5 linked regions of the Callithrix jacchus genome follow. The protein of the gene in region 2 interacts with the protein of the main gene of each other region in a biochemical or structural test. Links are inferred from orthologs where the notes say so. Each region holds a gene or a part of one and is shown on either strand. Other genes may lie near its edges. The genes, in order: IRF2, KAT2B, CTBP1, SATB1 and KLF13.

The links.
Region 1: the proteins of KAT2B (region 2) and IRF2 form a complex in vitro, tested with the Homo sapiens proteins (2 studies listed by BioGRID, with this or other methods). The link is inferred for Callithrix jacchus from reciprocal best matches to the Homo sapiens genes KAT2B and IRF2.
Region 3: the proteins of KAT2B (region 2) and CTBP1 form a complex in vitro, tested with the Homo sapiens proteins (2 studies listed by BioGRID, with this or other methods). The link is inferred for Callithrix jacchus from reciprocal best matches to the Homo sapiens genes KAT2B and CTBP1.
Region 4: of the proteins of KAT2B (region 2) and SATB1, one has a biochemical effect on the other in vitro, tested with the Homo sapiens proteins (2 studies listed by BioGRID, with this or other methods). The link is inferred for Callithrix jacchus from reciprocal best matches to the Homo sapiens genes KAT2B and SATB1.
Region 5: of the proteins of KAT2B (region 2) and KLF13, one has a biochemical effect on the other in vitro, tested with the Homo sapiens proteins (2 studies listed by BioGRID, with this or other methods). The link is inferred for Callithrix jacchus from reciprocal best matches to the Homo sapiens genes KAT2B and KLF13.

What each region holds. Positions count from the first base shown.
Region 1 is NC_133504.1:6,985,602-6,989,116, forward strand, and holds part of IRF2 (interferon regulatory factor 2), read left to right. Parts: intron 1-272; coding exon 273-437; intron 438-3,515. UniProt on the Homo sapiens protein: Specifically binds to the upstream regulatory region of type I IFN and IFN-inducible MHC class I genes (the interferon consensus sequence (ICS)) and represses those genes. Also acts as an activator for several genes including H4 and IL7.
Region 2 is NC_133518.1:58,551,616-58,555,835, reverse strand, and holds the start of KAT2B (histone acetyltransferase KAT2B), read right to left. Parts: upstream 2,816-4,220; 5' UTR 2,741-2,815; coding exon 2,438-2,740; intron 1-2,437. UniProt on the Homo sapiens protein: Functions as a histone acetyltransferase (HAT) to promote transcriptional activation. Has significant histone acetyltransferase activity with core histones (H3 and H4), and also with nucleosome core particles.
Region 3 is NC_133504.1:191,935,085-191,938,599, reverse strand, and holds part of CTBP1 (C-terminal-binding protein 1), read right to left. Parts: intron 2,168-3,515; coding exon 2,013-2,167; intron 1-2,012. UniProt on the Homo sapiens protein: Corepressor targeting diverse transcription regulators such as GLIS2 or BCL6. Has dehydrogenase activity. Involved in controlling the equilibrium between tubular and stacked structures in the Golgi complex.
Region 4 is NC_133518.1:57,045,562-57,049,076, forward strand, and holds part of SATB1 (DNA-binding protein SATB1), read right to left. Parts: intron 3,464-3,515; coding exon 3,368-3,463; coding exon of another isoform or gene 3,272-3,367; exon of another isoform or gene 3,253-3,271; intron 1,735-3,252; coding exon of another isoform or gene 1,732-1,734; coding exon 1,216-1,731; 3' UTR 1-1,215. UniProt on the Homo sapiens protein: Crucial silencing factor contributing to the initiation of X inactivation mediated by Xist RNA that occurs during embryogenesis and in lymphoma.
Region 5 is NC_133507.1:6,651,784-6,655,298, forward strand, and holds part of KLF13 (Krueppel-like factor 13), read right to left. Parts: intron 2,894-3,515; exon of another isoform or gene 726-2,893; coding exon 436-725; 3' UTR 1-435. UniProt on the Homo sapiens protein: Transcription factor that activates expression from GC-rich minimal promoter regions, including genes in the cells of the erythroid lineage. Represses transcription by binding to the BTE site, a GC-rich DNA element, in competition with the activator SP1.

The sequences.
Region 1 (3,515 bases), on a different chromosome or scaffold from region 2:
CTGGTAGGACATGGCCACCTGTGTGTGCCATTGGCAGACATGTTGGAGACAGACCTGGGGAGCCAGGTGTTGGCCTGGAGACATCACCCCAGAGCTACAGAACTCAGGCTTGTTCTTCAGCCCCATGGCAGGGGACAGGTGGGGAAGGGAGCCTGGCGATCTGCCTCTGTTGGGAAAGGCCTTCTTTCCTTTCTCATAGCACACTTATGAGAAAGTGTGCTAGAATTGTTAGGTCAGGAGACTTGGCATGATGACTCTTTTCTTCTCTGAAGTCGTAGGACAATCCCATCTGGACGGCAACATCGAGGATCAAGAGATTGTCACCAACCCGCCGGACATTTGCCAAGTTGTAGAGGTGACCACTGAGAGCGACGAGCAGCCGGCCAGCATGAGCGAGCTGTACCCTCTGCAGATCTCACCCGTGTCTTCCTACGCGGGTAAGCGGCAGGAGGGGGCTCCAGGACGCCTGGGAACAGGCCGCGGGGTCCTCTGGTCTAGCGGCAGGAGGGGGCTCCAGGACGCCTGGGAACCAGCCGCGCGGTCCTCTGGTCTAGCGGCAGGAGGGGACTCCAGGACGCCTGGGAACCGGCCGCGCGGTCCTCTGGTCTAGCGGCAGGGCGGGGCTCCAGGACCCCTGGGAACAGGCCGCACGGGCGGGGCTCCAGGATGCCTGGGAACCTGCCGCGGGGTCCTCTGGTCTAGCTCGGGGCTCCAGGATGCCTGGGAACTGGCCGCGGGGTCCTCTGGTCTAGCTCGGGGCTCCAGGACGCCTGGGAACCAGCCGCGCGGTCCTCTGGTCTGGGGTCTCCCCTCTCACCACCCCTTGGAGCGTAGGATTCCTCTGTCCTCGCAGTTGTTCTTCCTGGAATGTTTCATACTTTAATTTCTTGGTAATCAACATCTTCGTGGACACTTTCGTTTGCAGTTACAGGACAGGATCAGGATCACAACATTTCTTCACTAAGTCACCCATTATGTTGTTGTTTTTTTTCTTGATACAGAGTCTTGCTCTCTTGCCCAGGCTGGAGTGCAGTGGGATGATCTCAGCCCACAGCAACCTCTGTCTTCTGGGTTCGAGTGATTCTCTTGCCTCAGCCTTCTAAGTAGCTGGGGTTACAGGGGCGCACTACCATGCCAGCTAGGTTTTGTATTTTCAGTAGAGACCGGGTTCTACTGAACCCTGGCCATGTTGGCCAGGCCCGTCTCAAACTCCTGACCTCTGGTGATCCAGCCACCTTGGTCTCCCAAAGTGCTGGGATTTCAGACGTGAACCATGGTGCCCGCCTCCCATAACACTTTTATGTATGGTTAACAGACGAGATTTCTCTGGAGCAGCGGTTCATCAGAGTCTAATTTATTTGCCCAAGTAGTCAGAAACTTGGCACAGTGTTTTAATGGATTCTCAATTTGAGCAGGCTGGATAGGACCTTAGAGATGATCTCTTCCGGTTCCTTCATTTCTCTGGACGGGAAGGGGCTTGCTGAATTGGAGGTCGTGCAGTCAGAAGCGTCTGGGCCAGGACTTGACCTCAACCTTCAGACCCCGAGCTCACTGCTGGACCCATTCCATTCCACCAAGCTGACTTGTCTCTTCCACGTATTTTCTCTTTCTTTTTCTATCTAGTACAGGTTCTAATCAGGCAAGATGACTGAGCCCATTTCCAGTTCCCCAGGGACTTGGCCACATAATGACAGGAGTCGGCCTGGCCAGTCATAGGAGGAGAAACAGATCCAGTGGGTTCTTCCATTCTTACAGAGTAAAAGCAGGGCCCCTCTTGTTCACTGGCGTCACTTCCTCATCTTCTCCTCTCTTCCTGACGATCTCCAATAAATTTTGTAAAAATCAATCGTAATTAGGAAATATAAATTCTGAGTCGGTGTTATTGCTTGCAGATATTAAAAATAAAAAGCAGAGACCCCATGATAGGAAACTCCAGTTCAGCTCTAGTCAACAGCTCGGGGATTCTTCCCAGAGCTCTTTACGCGCTGCCAAATGGGTGTCCTCCAGCAGGTGCCACCCGCAAGACTGGCTCAGACCAGCGTTGGAATTAGAGTTGACTCAAAGGACCGGTTGCTTGTGAATTATCAGCTGCTAAATCTAATCTCATTTTCCCTGAACACCAACTTTTAAAAATTTTGGTAAAATACATTAACATAAAAATCACTATTTTAGCCATTTTTAAGTGCACAGTTTAGTAGCATTAAGTGCATGAATGTTGTACAGCTGTGACCAGCATCCATCTTCAGCACGTTTTTCATCTTGCAAAACTGACACTCTGTCCCCATGAAACACTAAGTCCCCTTTTCCCTCCTCTACCCTAGCCCTTGGCAACCTCTTACCTATTTTCCATCTCAATGAATATGGCTATTCTAGGTCCCTCGTGTGGGTGGAATCATAGTGCTTGTTGTTTTGTGACTGGCTTATTGCACTTAGCATAGGTCCTGGTGTACATTTACACTAGCAACGTAAGTGAAATGTGAGAATAAACCTTGGCTACAGAAAGGTTCTAATCTGTCAGACAGGATAAGCTTGTCATCAGTGATTTATTCAGCAAATGCATTTTGAACTTTTTTTTTTTTTGAGACGGAGTCTCACTTTGTCACCCAGGCTGGAGGGCAGTGACACGATCTCCGCTCATTGCAACCTCCACCTCCCTGGTTTAAGCAATTCCCCTGCCTCAGCCTCCCAAGTGGCTGGGATTACAGGCGGGTGCCACCACGCACGACTAATTTTTTTGTATTTTTAGTAGAGACAGGGTTTCACCATGTTGGCTGGTCTTGAACTCCTGACCTCAGGCAGTTGCCTGCCTGGGCCTCCCAAAGTGCTGGGATTACAGGTGTGAGCCACTGCGCCCGGCCCACATTTTGAACTCATATGTGCCTTGCCAATATGCCGTCACAAGAACTACTATTCGTTGCAAGTTTATTGTGCCCTTGGAACCCTACTCAGTACTTGGGTGCAGTTGACTATTCGTTGTTATTTTTAATAGAAACAGGGTTCTGCCATGTTGCCCAGGCTGGTCTAGAACTCCTGGGCTCAAACAGTCTGCTCACCTTGGCCTCCCAAAGTGCTGGGGTTACAGGCATGAGCTGCCACACCTGGTATGATACAGCTGACTTGTGTAATTATAATTAGAGTAACCCTGTCAGCCTGGGCACCATCATTATCCCCATTTTAAAAGTGACAAATCTGGCCGGGCTCAGTGGTTCACGTCTATAATCCCAGCACTGGAAGGCCAAGGTAGGAGGATCGCTTGAGCCCAGGAATCGGAGACCAAGCCTGGGTGACGTAGTGAGACGCCACTTCTACAAAAAATAAAAAACGTTAGCTGGGCATGGTGGCATGTGCCTGTAGTCCCAGCTACTTGGGAGGCTGTGGCAGGAGCAACACTTGAGCCCAGGAGTTCAAGGCTTCAGTGAGCCCTGATTGCACCATTGCACTCCAGCCTGGGTGACAGAGCAAGATCCTGTCGTCAAAATATGTGTGTGTGTGTGTCTAGGGCTGACGTGGGTAAA
Region 2 (4,220 bases):
AAAAATAAAAGAAATTTTCTCTTACTATAAGTTGGGTCATAAAAGTGACCAGAAAACACTCAAATCTCAAACTTTGGAAGTGGTGCTACATCTCACCCATGGAAATTTGAAAAGATCACAGGTATCAATGCAGGGCACATATGCTCATGGTTTTAGATAAAACCAAAATTTCAGGAAAGTTTTCAGATATTAAAGGTACAGCAGGCAGCAGGAAATCTTTAACAGGTGCTAGTGAGGAGAACCCAATAAATAAAATTAAAAATAAAGCCAGGACAGGCCGGGCACAGTGGCTCACGTCTATAATCCCAGCACTTTGGGAGGCCAAGGCGGGCAGGTCACCTGAGGTCAGGAGTTTGAGACCACCCTGACCAACATGGAGAAACTCCATCTCTATTAAAATACAAAAAATTAGCCAGGCATGGTGGCGCATGCCTGTAATCCCAAGCTGCTTGGGAGGCTGAGGCAGGAGAAACGCTTGAACCTGGGAGGCAGAGGTTGCAGTGAGCCAAGTTCACGCCACTGAAGTCCAGCCCGGGCAATAAGGGCGAATCTCCATTTCAAAAATAATTAAATAAAGCCAGTACAGAAACACTGAGTTGACACAGTTCCTACACGAGCCCACTTCGGCTGCAAAACACCAAGGCCACCAAGAAATTGACCTTCTTCTGTGTTTTCATAGGTTTTGGGGAAGAGGTGGTTGTTTAGTTACATGAGTAAGTTCTTTAGTGGTGATCTGTTAGATTTTGGTGTACCTATCACCCAAGCAGTACGCCCTATACCCATGACCTTGTTCTTAATTCTATACACAGCTCTCCCTTCTGCCTGCCACAGTCAGTGTCCTGTTCTCATCAGTCTAACGCCCTTCATCATCAACTCCTGGGCTTGTGCCTTTCTTAGAAGCACACTCCCAACTTCATCTTCTTTGCATTCCTTCTTCAGAAATAACCACATGGCATTATTATTTGTTTCTGTCTTTTCTACTGAATTCAAAGAGCCAAATAATATACTGCCCAGTTCTGAACTGGAACGTGGTCTGTGGACTAGCGTAGTATCACTTAGGAGTTGGTCAGAAATGCAGACCCTCAGCTTCCACCTCAGACCAGCTGGTTCAGAATCAGCATTTTAACCAGTTTCCCCAGGAGATTCCTATCCACATTAACGTTTGAGGAGCAGTGGGCTAGATCCTACATTCACTCAACAAATATTTATTGAACCAGTATAGGACACAGAGGTGCTCAATATAAACATGAGGATATGGTGTGGAAAAAGAGCAAGCACAGACATTCCATTGCGACTGAGAAGCTCCTGTAAGTACTAAAAAGAGTCTAACCGAGATGTTCTAGTAGGATAAATTATAGTTATGTCACAATTCAGAAGTGGCCCCTGCAGCTTGGTTGTGGGAATCAGGAATCTGGAACCGGGCAACCTGACCCTGCTTGCAGCAGGCAGGAAGAACACATGGGAGGTGTGTGTGTGTGTGAGTGTGTCTCTTCCCTGCCTCAGCCACAGGCCGCAGGAGCTGACAAGGCCAAGTCCCCGCCCCCCTCAGCTGTCACCCTGTCAAAACAAAGCCGCTGCTGACAGCGCAGGGCCAGCCTGCCCCGCGGCCTCGGGCATTGCTCCCACCTCGGGAGCACAGCCTCCACATCTGGATCTGCAGCTGGGGGTGACGGGGTTCCTAAACTGGCATGGAGAGTGGATAGCAAGAAATAGGTGTCCTCACACTGGGCAGTAGTGCCCGCTGTGCTGGGCTGTCACCTTGCCAAATCCTGTTTACACCTCGAGCAGCTGGGACAGCGTTTTAACTAAACAAGTAATAATACAATAATGACAGGGCTGTCACTGCGCCCGGCAGTGCCTCCGCCCCCAGCCGAGGGCGCCAGGCTCCAAGAGACCCTCGCCTCGAGCTCTGCCCACCTTCCCGCCCCGCGCCTTCCTCCCCTTCGCTTTCCCAAAGCGCCAAGAGTCCGCGAGTCTTCACCCCCACTCCTTGTACCCAGTTCCTCCCAATGGGACAAGGGAGGAGATCGACTGCAGAAGGGACCACTCAGTGCGCCAAAAGATTTTTCTTTGCCCCGGGGTCTCCCGCCACATGGAGAGCACCGTTCCACTCCCGGCAAAGTGACTCCAGCGAGCTCCTACAGAGCAACAAAACCCCAGGGTAGCCCGGGAGCTCGGAAGCCGAAGCCACTCTTTTCAAGCTGAAGGAACGAAGGGCTCTCGGTCTTAGCGATCCCCCTTCTTCAAACCCAGCAGGACTCTTATCCAAGAAGAAGCTAATTGGGCGCGGGCGACAAGAGCACTTCCGCGGTGCAGCGGCCCCAGGCGGGAGGCGAGAGGCAGGAGGCGGGAGGCGGGGGTGAAGGAGGGAGGGGGAGGGGGTCCCGCGGGCTGGGCCCCTAGCACCATCCGCGGTCCGAGAGCAGCCCGCGCGTACCTTGCAGGCGGAGTACACTCCGAGTTTCTCCAGTTTCTTGGCCCGTGGAGCGGAGCGTAGTTGCGCCTTCTTCACGGCGATTCGGGCCGAGCCACCGCCTCCCGGTCCTTCGGCCGTGCCCGCTGCAGCCACTGCCGTAGCCGGACCGCAGGCGCCCGAGCCCCCGGCGGCAGCAGCGCAGGGGGAGCCCTGCGGGGGCGCGGGCGGCAGCGCCGCAGGCGGGGGGGGCAGCGCCCCGGGCCCGGCCCCTGCCCCGGCTCCTGCCCCGCAGCCGCCCGGCCCGGCCCCGCCAGCCTCGGACATGCCGCCCCGGAGCACGGCAGGAGGCGCCGAGTGTCAGGCGCCGCCGCCGCCGCCAGGGTCTCCCTCTCGGGCTCTGGTCGTCGGGAGAGCGAGACCCTCCCCCCACGCCCTCCCGCCCCCTTCGCCCACCCCCCTCCCCGCCCCCGCCCTCCCCCGCGCGCGCCGCTTGCCCGGCTCGCTCCGGCCGGGGCCCGCGCGCTGATGGTGGTGGCGGCTGTGGCGGCGGCGACGGCAGCGGCGGCAGCTGCTCCCCCAGGAGGGAGGGGACTAGCGGCTCCGCTGCCGCCACCGCCGCCACAGCACACGCCCTCCCTCGGTTCTCCTGCCCGGGACTCTGCTCGGCGCCCTGGCCGCGGACATGTTCCTCGGGGCTGCGGACTGGGTGTGCGTGCCGGCGGCCGCCAGCCTCCTAGTGTGCCGGAGCCGGGAGGCCCCCCACGGCCTCTTTTCCGCTGCCCGCGGGGTTTGCACCCCCCACCCGGGTGCCTCGACACCTACGGCTCGCCCGCCAGGGGGCGAGGCCAATCCCTGGGTGTGGGTGAGGGTGGGGACGAGGGTGGGGGTAGGGGCCTGGAGCCCAGGCACCTGCTGGCCACCTCCCCCCTCCGCAGCCCCCCATCCGACCCCGCACGCCCGCGCCAGTGTGAGGGGGCAGCCTCTCAGTCATTTGTCCTTCCACTCTCTTCCACCCTGTCTCTGAGCGGAGAGACAACTTCCTCCACCCTAGCGGGAGCCAGAGGAAAAAAAAAATACATTTTTGAAAAGTACCCGTCCATGCTAATCCTTTTCTTTGTTGCTAATTCATCAAAATAAAGGCGTGATGTTCTCCCTTTCTCTTTTTAAACACTTTCTGTCAAACTGTGTTTTAACATAATTAACACTTTCTTCCCATAGCAATTTCTGGGCCAAATCTGCCAGAGGGGGGGGAAAAACTTAATATTCTCTGTAATTTTTGTTTGAAAGTGCTGGTTGCTCAAAGAACGATTGCCTAAAATCATTGTCAAAATAAAAACTATGTGCAGTGGAAAAAGTTTAAATACAAAAAGTTTGTTAACAGGATTCGTCTCTGGGTGGTGGTTCTATAACGTTTCGTAGTTTTCAAAATTGTACCATCAGCGTGCATATTAACCAGGAAAAAAAAATTAAGCATCATTCAAAAGAATAAATATTGATTTTGGCTTCAAACTTTCAAAAGAAAAAAAAAAGACAACCTCAACTCAGTGTTTTCAACTCTTGTTGAAAACTATTGTTTTCACTGTTGATGACTGGAGCATAGATGTCAGTGCTGCGTTTGAAATGGTGTACCGTTGGTCGCCTTCCTAAAGCAGGTTTTAAAAGCCCAGGCTGTTTCCCAGGACCCTTCAGAAGTGCCCTACTTTTTGTTGTATGTAATGTGGGTCATAATGTGCTTATTATCAGACTCTACCCATGCTGTATAGCTCCCCAGCCAGACGCCTTAAGGGTTGTGTTTTTCCTTCAA
Region 3 (3,515 bases), on a different chromosome or scaffold from region 2:
GAACCTGTCTAGGCAGCCTGGGATTACTGCAATTTCAGAAAACCTCTGTTTTGCCTTAGTTTTCCAATCTGTTGGCAGACCCTGCTTTAGTGTGACTTACAACTTTCCAAGTTGACCATGTGCCTCTTTTCCATTCCATACGTGTGTGTCTTTAACACACACCCAGCCTCCCAGTGAGAAAACCGTACTAGCCAGGGCACTGTCAAAACCAAGTGGGTGCCACATGACTCCAGGTGTACACCGTGGCCGGGCATGCATGTGGACACGCCCGTGTGATGTGCTCATGTGCAGATTCCGGCACACTGGCCCACTGGCAGCTCCCCCGCCCGCACCCCAGCAATGGTTTCCGTCACGCTGATGCCTCTGCCTGAACATGAAGAGATCAGGCAGCATGCAGCCCTTGAAACCAGCTCTTCACTCGCCATCACGCTACCGAGATCCCCCCGCCTGTTGCTGAGGATGCCAAGGGAGGTGGCCAGCGTTTGCCTGGCCACTGACCTGCCAAAGGGCAGCCGGGGCGTGTCCTGGTTTGGGGCATGTCCTGGTTTGGGCCGTGATGATTACAGTTGCCAGGGAGCATGACGCGCGGTTCTGCCCGCGGACGTGCGTTCCAAGCCTCTGCGACTAAGGAGTGTGGCCACTGGGCTGCATTACAGGCGCACATCTAACTGCATGAGAAACCAGGAAGCGTTTTGCAGAGCGACCGCCGGCCGCAGCAGACGCGCGCCCATCTTTAGCACCATGTTTCCTTTGGAAATGCTTCTGCTGTCATCCCTTCCAGCCCCTCCCCTCTATTGTTCCAAAGTGTCTGTGAGGGTGGCTCCTCATCTCACCCTCCTGGCTGCTAAACCTGCCCCTCTGTTCTCCCATTCGGCTTCGGCGTGTCTCAGATCCACACCTCACCTCCTCTGAGGCACCATGCCCCGTTTTAGGGGCAGCAGCTCCTCGTCGGTGTCTGGCCCGGCCTCCTCCTGAGGGCTGTGCTGGGGTCACCATGCCGTGGTCAGCTCGGGGAGCTCTGGTGGACCCGCACTGCCTTTTCTGGCTTTTGGGCTTTATGCCTCATCTGCCATCTCCTGACTGCCTGGTTATCTCTACTGCATTTGACGGACCCTGGGCCAGACGATGATCTGTAGAAATGAACCGAGGCCCAGGCTGATGCTACGTTCCTCTGAAGGGGCTGTCCCATTTCTTCCTGCCAGGCACCTGGGGCCAGGCAGTGTGGGATCCCCTGAAATCCAGGCTCAAGTCTCCCCCGATGTTGGCAGGCTGGATGCCCACTGTACGGCATGTCAGAGTCCAGGGCACCCTCACTCCAGGTGTCACCTTACAGGCCATGGCTGTCCCAGCAGGCCCCACACCCTGCAGACCATGGCTGCTGCCAATGCCAAATGCAACCCCTCAGCCACTTCTTCGAGAACAGCCAACACCCCAGGCCAGAACGGGCAGGGCCCACCCGTTCCTACAGATTCTGGGCTTGTCTGGATTGTAGCCTGGGCAGCTGTAGCTCTGTCCTGTTAGCTCCTGAGGACCCAGCTTCTTCGTCTGTCTTCAGGGAAAAGCTGCTCTGAATCACTAACCTCTGGCTACAAGCAGAGCCAGACCGACCTGTTTCTCATCACGGAGGAGCCTGTGGATCTCCTGAGCAAACACGACTCAGGAAAGCTGCCCGAAGGCTGCCCACTGCTGGACCACAGCCAAGTCGTGGGCAATGCCAAGACCACCCATGCGCATGCAAAGACCGCTGTGCGCCCGGAGCCAGGGGAAGCAATTCACTCTGGCCCTGCAACAAAAGCAGCGTCCTGAGGACCTGCTCTCTGGGAGAAAACTGGAAATGAATCCAGAAGCTACAGGCGAAACCCCATGTCCATCTCCTAATGGGGCAGGGTGAAAGGGACAGAGGCTGCACCTGTCCCAGTGGCATCCAGACCTGCTGCGGCCCATGCTCCCATCCCTCCCAACTCCCCTCCGGCATGTGGCTCTGGCAGCCCCAGGACAGTACGTGGTGGTACCTTCTCATGGATCTCCTGCGTGGACTGTGCGTCGCAGAAGGCCACGGTGGCCACGTCCTTCAGGATAGGCATCTCCACCGTGCAGTCCCGGCCATCCAGCAGTGCCACCAGGGGCCGCGGGTGCAGGGGCCCGTTCATGATTGGAGGTCGGACGCCTGCAAGACAGAAGCAAGTGCTCAGCCTTGCACCACCGCAGCCCGTAGCCACAACCTGCTCCACACTGCCCACTGTGCACCGGCCGATGAGGGCTTTCCATTCTACATGTTGTGATATTTGTAAAAAGTGAATTAAAAATCCATAGGAAAGACAGATTTGTGTGCCTCAGCTCGCTGACACGAGTGGACACAGACTACAGACACCCACCACCATTGCCCTCAGGCACAGGGGCTCCCAGACCCCCTGAGACCCTCCCAGACCTGTCTGAGATTCCCCAAGACTCCCCCATACCCTCCGAGATCCCGAGACCCCAGGGCAGCTCCATGAGGCGGAGGGACAGGAGGGACCCGTGACACTGGAGGGCACAGATCGCAGCACAGGGCTTTAGGAACATGGCTGCCCTTTTCCGCCTGGGCTACCGTGTGGCTGCTGGAATCCCCGATGGGTCACCAATATTTCACACAGAACGCCCCACCCTCTGCCTGGCATCACTTCCATTTGTAAATTTGAAGGGACAAGAAACAGAGCTATAGAGGAAAGTCCACTGTTAAAGTCCACTGTGCCCCTACCTTCCCAGAATGAGCTGATTAAAAACCACTAACACCCATTATTCCTTTCACGTATGACACAGCTAAGCTTCGTTCGGGGCCACATGGAGAAAGAGGGGCTCTGAGGTGTCACAGAAGCACAGCAGCTTCCAGGCACCACCCGGCCACCCTGTGCCAGGCAGGGAGCACCGGGTGCTGGGAAAAGGCAGAGCTGGAGCCAGGGTCTGGCCGGTCCACCCCCCAGACTGGCCCCAGGAGACCAAGGAGCCCCCAGGACCATTTGGCCAGCAGGAGGGGAGACACAGGACAGAACCAAGAAACGGAGTGACCCAGTAAAGTCCTCAGTGGCTGCAGCCACATGCACGCTCAGCCGTCTCCCACCCCATCTACCAGCAGGTAAGCAGAGGCCACCAAGCCGCCAGGGCCCAGAATGCACTGCAAACACGGCTCTTGGAGCCCACGGCAGAGAAAAGAGACACCCTGGTGGACAGCCCAAGGGTGCAATGGGCCTGCAGCAGGTGCCTGCAGGGGACAGGGCACAGGTCTCCACTGACCACCCCAAAGCCGAGGGCTCCCGGTACGGCTGGGCCCAGGCTCCTCCTTCTAAGTCCTCACGCCCCAGTGACCTCAGAGGAGCCACTGGCCATTCCACCCACTTGCCTTCAAGACAGGAAAGGTGCCAGGACCTGCCCAGACCCCAAACACGGGGTGTGCACGATCAAAACCACATCCTGGTTTGCCTGTTCCCTCATTCCATCTGGACAGGAGCTGCCCATGACCCCCCTCCTGCAGCTCCCCA
Region 4 (3,515 bases), about 1.5 Mb from region 2:
AATTGTGTAGTTACAGTCAATAACCACTCCTAGGCAGAACATTTCTGCATAAAGAAAATTGTGATACACTTATAAAAACAGCCAGCTGTAACAAAATAGCTGGTGTTTTCATAGCCATAAACTCATAAAAAAGAAATACACCTTTATACAGAAATTTTATACAGATGTAGCTTTAAAATTGATTGTAAACCAAAGGAAGACACATTGCAAACATCAATTATTTTCACATTAATTGCATAATTTTCTAAGGTGATCTATTAGTTTTATTTACCTAAGCTTATTTGCATGATAGTAAAAATTGCATACAACAATAAGAGTGAAGCTTATAGTATGAATTGCTTGGATAACATAGAGCACTTTTTATAGGCAACTGTGTAAAGCACATTTTCTCTATTTAAAACTTTTAAGACACTTTGTTTTACTGCCCATCAAAATACATTTATAAATAGAAAAGAATCAGTATGGTAACAAGAGAAGCAATATTACATTTAACGGAAACTTCCAAAAAATTAATTACAACATGATGCTGCAGGATCTACAAATAAATAATGAGGACTAAATTGTGTTTCACATTTTCTTTTCCTTTTTTTAAAAAAATCATGTAACAATGAGAATGAAAAAAAATTACAGTGAACTTTTATTTCCAAAATAAAAACAAATTTGAATTACGGCAGTGCCATATAATACAAGGCATTTGTTGGCATATGTCATCTTTAAACTGCATTCCACAGTCTATAGTTCTTTTGTAACATACAATAGAGTAACAAACTCTTTTTTTTTCTTTTTTTTTTTTAAATAAGGGGCGAGTTTCCAAAGATCAGTGTGGAGTGCTACAGAAATAATTATAGGAGAGAAAATCATAATCACAGAAGTTATAATGCTTGTTTGAGGCTCCAGAATAATAACTAAAAAAAAAAAAAAAATCACTGTTTCCATGCTTACGGGGTACACACTTTGGTGCATCCCGTGAACACAAATTTTAATACCAAACAATCCTTGATGCTTCACCTGGGGCTGCCAAGCAGTTTGTAAAACAGAGTAAAACATTTAGTGCAGTCTGTATTATCCTTTTCCAACTTTTCTGTTTGTGCAAGTTTTTGAAGATTCATTGGCCAAACAATGAACAACAAAGGTTTTCTGAGAGAGTACAAGGTGAACTTTTCAATTTATTAGTAGATACCAGTGGAATTGTTGAACGAAACGAATACTTTTATCTCAGTCTTTTAAATCAGCATTAATGTCTGTGTTTCCTTCCACTGACAGCTCTTCTTCTAGTTTTACTGAAAAAAGGGTGTTAGTATTTTTATCTTGGACACTCTCTTCCAAATCCTTCAGCAGCTCCTCTTCTTTATATTCTGCCACATCGACCTCTAAACCGGAATTGTCCTTCAGTTTGCCATGGTGCTTGAGATAGTACCGCTGGTTCTGAAAGAACTTGATGATGGTGTACTTGGGAAGGTCAAGCTGAGCGGACAGAGTCTGGATGGCCTCTTCGTCAGGGTACAGGCCTACGTCTTGTATGAAACTCTGGAGGATTCCCAGGGCTTCCACTGAAATTTTTGTTCGTGGCCGGGTCTTCTGCCGGTTCTCCTCATCTGACTCTGCTGGAGAGGCCACCGTGGGTTGCCGTGGGGGGAGCCGAGGGCCTGCCTGTGGCTGCTGTTGTGGCTGTGGAGGCTGCGGCGCCTGCTGCTGCTGTTGCTGCTGCTGCTGCTGCTGCTGCTGTTGTTGCTGCTGCAGAGAAACAAGGAAACAATCAGAGCTCTGCTATCGTGGAGATCCACACAAAGCCGCCTCGAATCAGGAAACGTGGTCACAATCCCACATACAGCTTCTTTGATAGGGACGAAGACTTAGAACAAAAAGGAAGGCCAGCTAAATGGCCCACAGCATTTAGAAAACAATCAAAAATGATATGAACTAGGAATGGATGAATTAATATGGCTATGCTCCCCAAATGAATAACATGGGGGGCTACTGCACTTACTTATCAGAAATCAGTGGAGGAAGTGAAAACTCAGTGCTCTGAAAATGGGAGCCATAAACTTCACTAGAAGGATACGCATCAAAGGCGAAGATGGCACATCAAATTATGATGTAAATAATTAACAAAGATTTAAAATGAAGATGGAGAGGCTAGGATTTCAAAGACATTTTAGAAAGGTGAGCTACGGAGCAGTGGGGAAAGAAATTTGTGTTCTGCTCCGTTTCACTGAATGGCCAGGAAGAACAGAAGATGAGCGTATGCTCTTATTCCATGTTATCTGTCATGAAAGCAAAGAATTTTTAAGATTCTCACATTTGCGCTTTTTCTATCAGACAGTTCCAATTTAATACACACTCAATTTCTTACCAAATTGCGCTGGGCTGACACTGCAAGTTTTTTTCTTACCTCAAAATAAAGGTTCAATCCCCCATACGACGGCTAGCGAATTGTTTTGTCTATAGTAAACTCAGATGTGATTAGGATTTAAATTTCGTGTATACAGACACTTTTTCATAATTACTATATGTGCTATAATTTCCATACACAATTATACATAAATATGTGACACATGCACATACTGTATTCTCGATATCCGTAATTCTTACGAGCAAAGCAAATCAACCTGAGTAAGTGGTACAATATTAGAATGCTATCATCTCTATGCATTTCCTTTTATACCTCTAAGAAGGAATTTTATTAAAAACAATTTACATTTTCAAATGAGTACTTTTTAAAATTACTTAACATACATTTTTCGCTTTTTTGTTTCTGCTAAACAGTAAGTTTTTCAGGCTTTCATGGTTATTTTAGTGCTTGAAATCCTAAAGGGAACCTCTCTGTCAACTTGTTTTAATACACACTTGAGAATTTTTTTATCCTGGTAAACAACTCTATTATTGTTTTTAGCTATACATATATATATGTCTGTACACACACACACACACACACACACACACATATATATATTTTTTTACAGAAATATAAAAAATAATGCAGGTGATTCAACAAAGGTAGAATTTTAGGACTCTGGAAGGCAATGGCATTTTACTTTAAAAGAGAAAGCTAAAATCATCCCCTTTAACAAATATAAGCTCTATAGCTCAAGTTCAATGACAACACGCTTCCTAAGCAATTGGGGACCTAAGAGCACTAATGACTACCTGATCCCAGAACTCTTCCATCTAAATTCACAGGAGAGTTCCTTTACAAGATGAATGGTGACAAGGCCCATAACATGACAAAGCACAAGGCTGCATCTGCTCGAACAGTGGGCTCTGGCCATGGCTATGCTATATATCCTTTGAAAATCCTGGGGGAGCAGGTCTTCATTTCACCCCCTCTCTGTGTCCCTTGCTGGCAGAGGTAACTGTGCCCGCTCACCTGAGGAGCAGCACCGAACCATGGTGCAGGGGTCGGCAGGCCTGGTAAGAAAACGCCTCTAGACTCTCCTTTCCCAAGGGTGGTGGGAGAGGGGCTCTAAAGGAAAGACAAACAGATATGACTCACCCCTAACCTACATTCTGTGAAG
Region 5 (3,515 bases), on a different chromosome or scaffold from region 2:
CCACGTCTGCTCCCAACAGACCCACAGGCTGGCCGGCCAGCCAGCCAGACGCTGAGCTCCAGACTGGCTGGCCTGCTCTGTCCCCAGTGTGTCCCCGAACCTAACAGAAAACTCCAGAGTGCAAATCTATGTACAGAGTAAGGCGGCAGGAAGGGGTGTCCTCACTGACCTCGTGGAACGTGTCCATCCCTGAGAAAGGGGGTTCAACACCGCTGAATCTCAACTTTGTGGGTCTATCTATTGTGCAATTGGTGGGTGGTGTTTTTTTAAATTTTTGTGGGTTTTTTTTTTTTTAGACAAATTTACTTTGACACCTGAGGTGAAGAAAATTCTTTTTTCGTGGACTTCGCATCGAGTTCTCTCTCTTCTTATTACAAAAGGAAAGGCCAGGGACTCACGAGGGCGCGGGAGCGGCTGCTCATGGCTGTGGCGGGCTCAAGGCGAGCTGGCCGGGCTGATGGTGGGGCTGCTGGCGTCGGAGCGGCTGTAGTCGCTGAGGGAGCCGGTCCGCGAGCCCCCGCCGCGCCGCTGCAGCATGCCCGGGTGGAAGTTGGCGTGGCGGCGCGCGTGCTTGGTCAGGTGGTCGCTGCGCATGAAGCGCTTCTCGCAGATGGGGCAGCTGAACTTCTTCTCGCCCGTGTGCGTGCGGTAGTGCCGCGCCAGCTCGTCGGAACGTGCGAACTTCTTGTTGCAGTCCTGCCAGCTGCAGGCGAAGGGCCTCTCACCTGTGGGCACAGGGGCAGGGCGTCAGTATCTGGCCTGTCCCCGCGTGCACACCCTCTCTGGGAAAGGGTCCGCGACACCCCAGAGTCTCTTATCGCCCCTCCCACGTGCCCCACCTCCAAGAGCTTCTGTGACAAATCCCTCAGAGCAGAGATGAAGGTGGGCCCCTGCCCTCCTGCCCACGCCTGGGATGGAAGAAGAGGACACGGCCTAGGATAAAACAGCACTGCAGGTGCTGAACTGCAGGGCCCGTGGGTGGGAAGGAGCAGGGCCAAGGCTCCTGGCCGTGGACCCCCCAAGTACCCCACAAAGCAGGAAGCACCACACACCAGGCAGGGCCAGCGGTCCCCAATGCATGGGGATGACAGGCCCAGGCCCTGGCTTCACAGGCCTCCCGGAGTCCAGGCACTGTGATCACCCCTGCTGCTCACGGCAGCCACACCCTGGACCTCTGCAGGGCAGGAAGACAATTCTCCGGCTAGTCTGTAACATGAACGGGTCAGCCTCGGGGATCTCCAGGGCCTGGAATTCTACAACCAGTGTGCCGCTCCCTCTCTCATGCAAGTCCCAAAGTGGCCAACCAGGGTTGGCTGGCAGAGCAGGAGAACGAGACAGGTTCGCGCAGACCCAAGCATGGTGACAGACAGCAGCGCAGAGCACCCCATCAGGGACCTGTGCAGGTGGGGAGGTGGCGGAACACAGTGGGGGTGGGAGGTGACAAAGGTGCGCTACAGTCAGGATGCTGCTCCCTCCTTCCCATCCCTCACTCAGAGCAGGAGACAGGCCAGCATTTACCCTGGCAAACTCTCAACCACAAAAATGACATCAACTGCTCAGGAAGAACCAGGGTGGGGGGCTCTGGCACCCCAGAAAGCAGCCCTCCTGGCATTAGGGGTAGCCACAGGGCTGCCCTTCCTACCTGGCCTCATCCCTTCTCACCCCCCATATCCATAAGGCTGGATAAACTTCAGGACACAGTAAAGGCACATTATTACTCTTTGTTTAAAAGAAAAAAGAGAGGCAATTAGAAACTCCAGGAAAAATAGAAGACATACAAAAAAAGTGTGGTTCAGATTAGATATAAACTAAAATGCCACATGATTATGAGTCAGGAGCTCCAAGCCAAGCTCAGTCTAGGGGTTTTTCCTATGCTCTATTACTTCTCCTTCACAACAAGTCTACGAGGTAGCGGCAGGAAATGTAATCCCAGCACAGGCCCTGCCGATGGAAACTACACAGTGTGGTCATGCTAAGCTTAGCACTAGCTGTCAGTGTTTTGGAACCAATCCCATAAACAAAGGCCACACAACGGACCTATGGGCCCGGAAGAGAACATGGATTTAAGAGAAAAGTGGGAATGCACTCGGAGTAAAAAAGGACATGTCTAAGTGAAACACAGAGGTTTCAAATTACAAGGATACTTAACAAAATAAGTAAAATAATACATCCATCAATTGAGGAAGAGTTGGAGGGGAGGGACAGGAGGTAAATCCTTAAATTTCATGGCAGGAGGATAACAGAGAATACCTAAATTTGATATATCACGAAACAGCAATAGAATACAGTTCATTTATGGCCGTAAACATCAAGACAACTAAAATCAGAAAAGAAGGGCTGCTCTCTAGGGAGCGGGGCTGGACTGGTGAGGCCATGTGTTTTGTTGCAAGCTCTGTGTGTTATGGGTATGTATCTACCTACATATTCACCTACCTACCTACCTACCTATCTAATCTGAGGCAGTCTCGCTCTGTCACCCAGGCTGGAGTGCAATGGTGTGGTCTCGGCTCACTGTAACCTCTGCCTCCTGGGTTCAGGCAATTTTCTTGCCTCAGCCTCCTGAGTAAGCTGGGATTACAGGTGCCCATCTGTGCCTGGCTAATTTTTGTATTTTTAGTAGAGACAGAGTTTTACCATGTTGGCCAGGCTGGTCTTGAACTTCTGACCTCAAGTGATGCATCCTCCTCAGCCTCCCGAAGTGTTGGGATTACAAGCGTGAGCCACATGTCTGACTTGGGTCTTTTAAAAAAATACATATTTGTTTCTTCATAACAATAAAATGAAGTGTTTAATTCTTTATATAGCTAGTCCAGTATTTCCCAAAACATGTTCAAAGCAACGTTATCATTGTATAAAGCTTCATCAGTTCCAGAATAAAAAGTTTCATCAACCAGAGTGAAAACGTTGCATGGTAATTCCACTCTTGGAGATTCACAAGGCAGACTGTCATTCAAAGCCTGGGGAAGCCCAGCATTAAATACATCGTTCAGTGTTAGCCATGTCAGGTCTGACAGATGAGGTTCAGACCCTGTTTGCACTGAGTTGTGACAGTATGGCCCAAACAAACCCCTTGCTGCCTGCAGTAGGACAGATAATGGTCCCTAAAAAGATACAGCCAAGTCATAACCCCCAGAACCTGTGCATGTGACCTCATTTGGAGAAAGGTCTTTGCGGGTGTCATCAGGTAAGGATCTGGACAGGAGCTCCCAAGTGTGGAAGGTAGGGACGAGGGGAGGGAGCCAGTGAGAGGGGAAAGGGAGCAAGAGAGGAGGGGGAGAAAGTGGGCAGGGGAAGGAAGGGGAGGCAGGGAGCGGATTCTCCCTCAGAGCCTCTGGAAGAAACTAACCCAGCCAACACCTTGATTTCAGGCTCCTCGCTTCTGGAACTGCGAGAGAGTGAGTTTCAGTTGCTTTTCAGCCACCCAGTTTGTGGCAATGTGTGACAGCAGCCGCAGGAAGTAAGCACGCTGCCCCATCCTCCTGGGGGACACAGGCACGCCTCAAACCAGTGCCTGG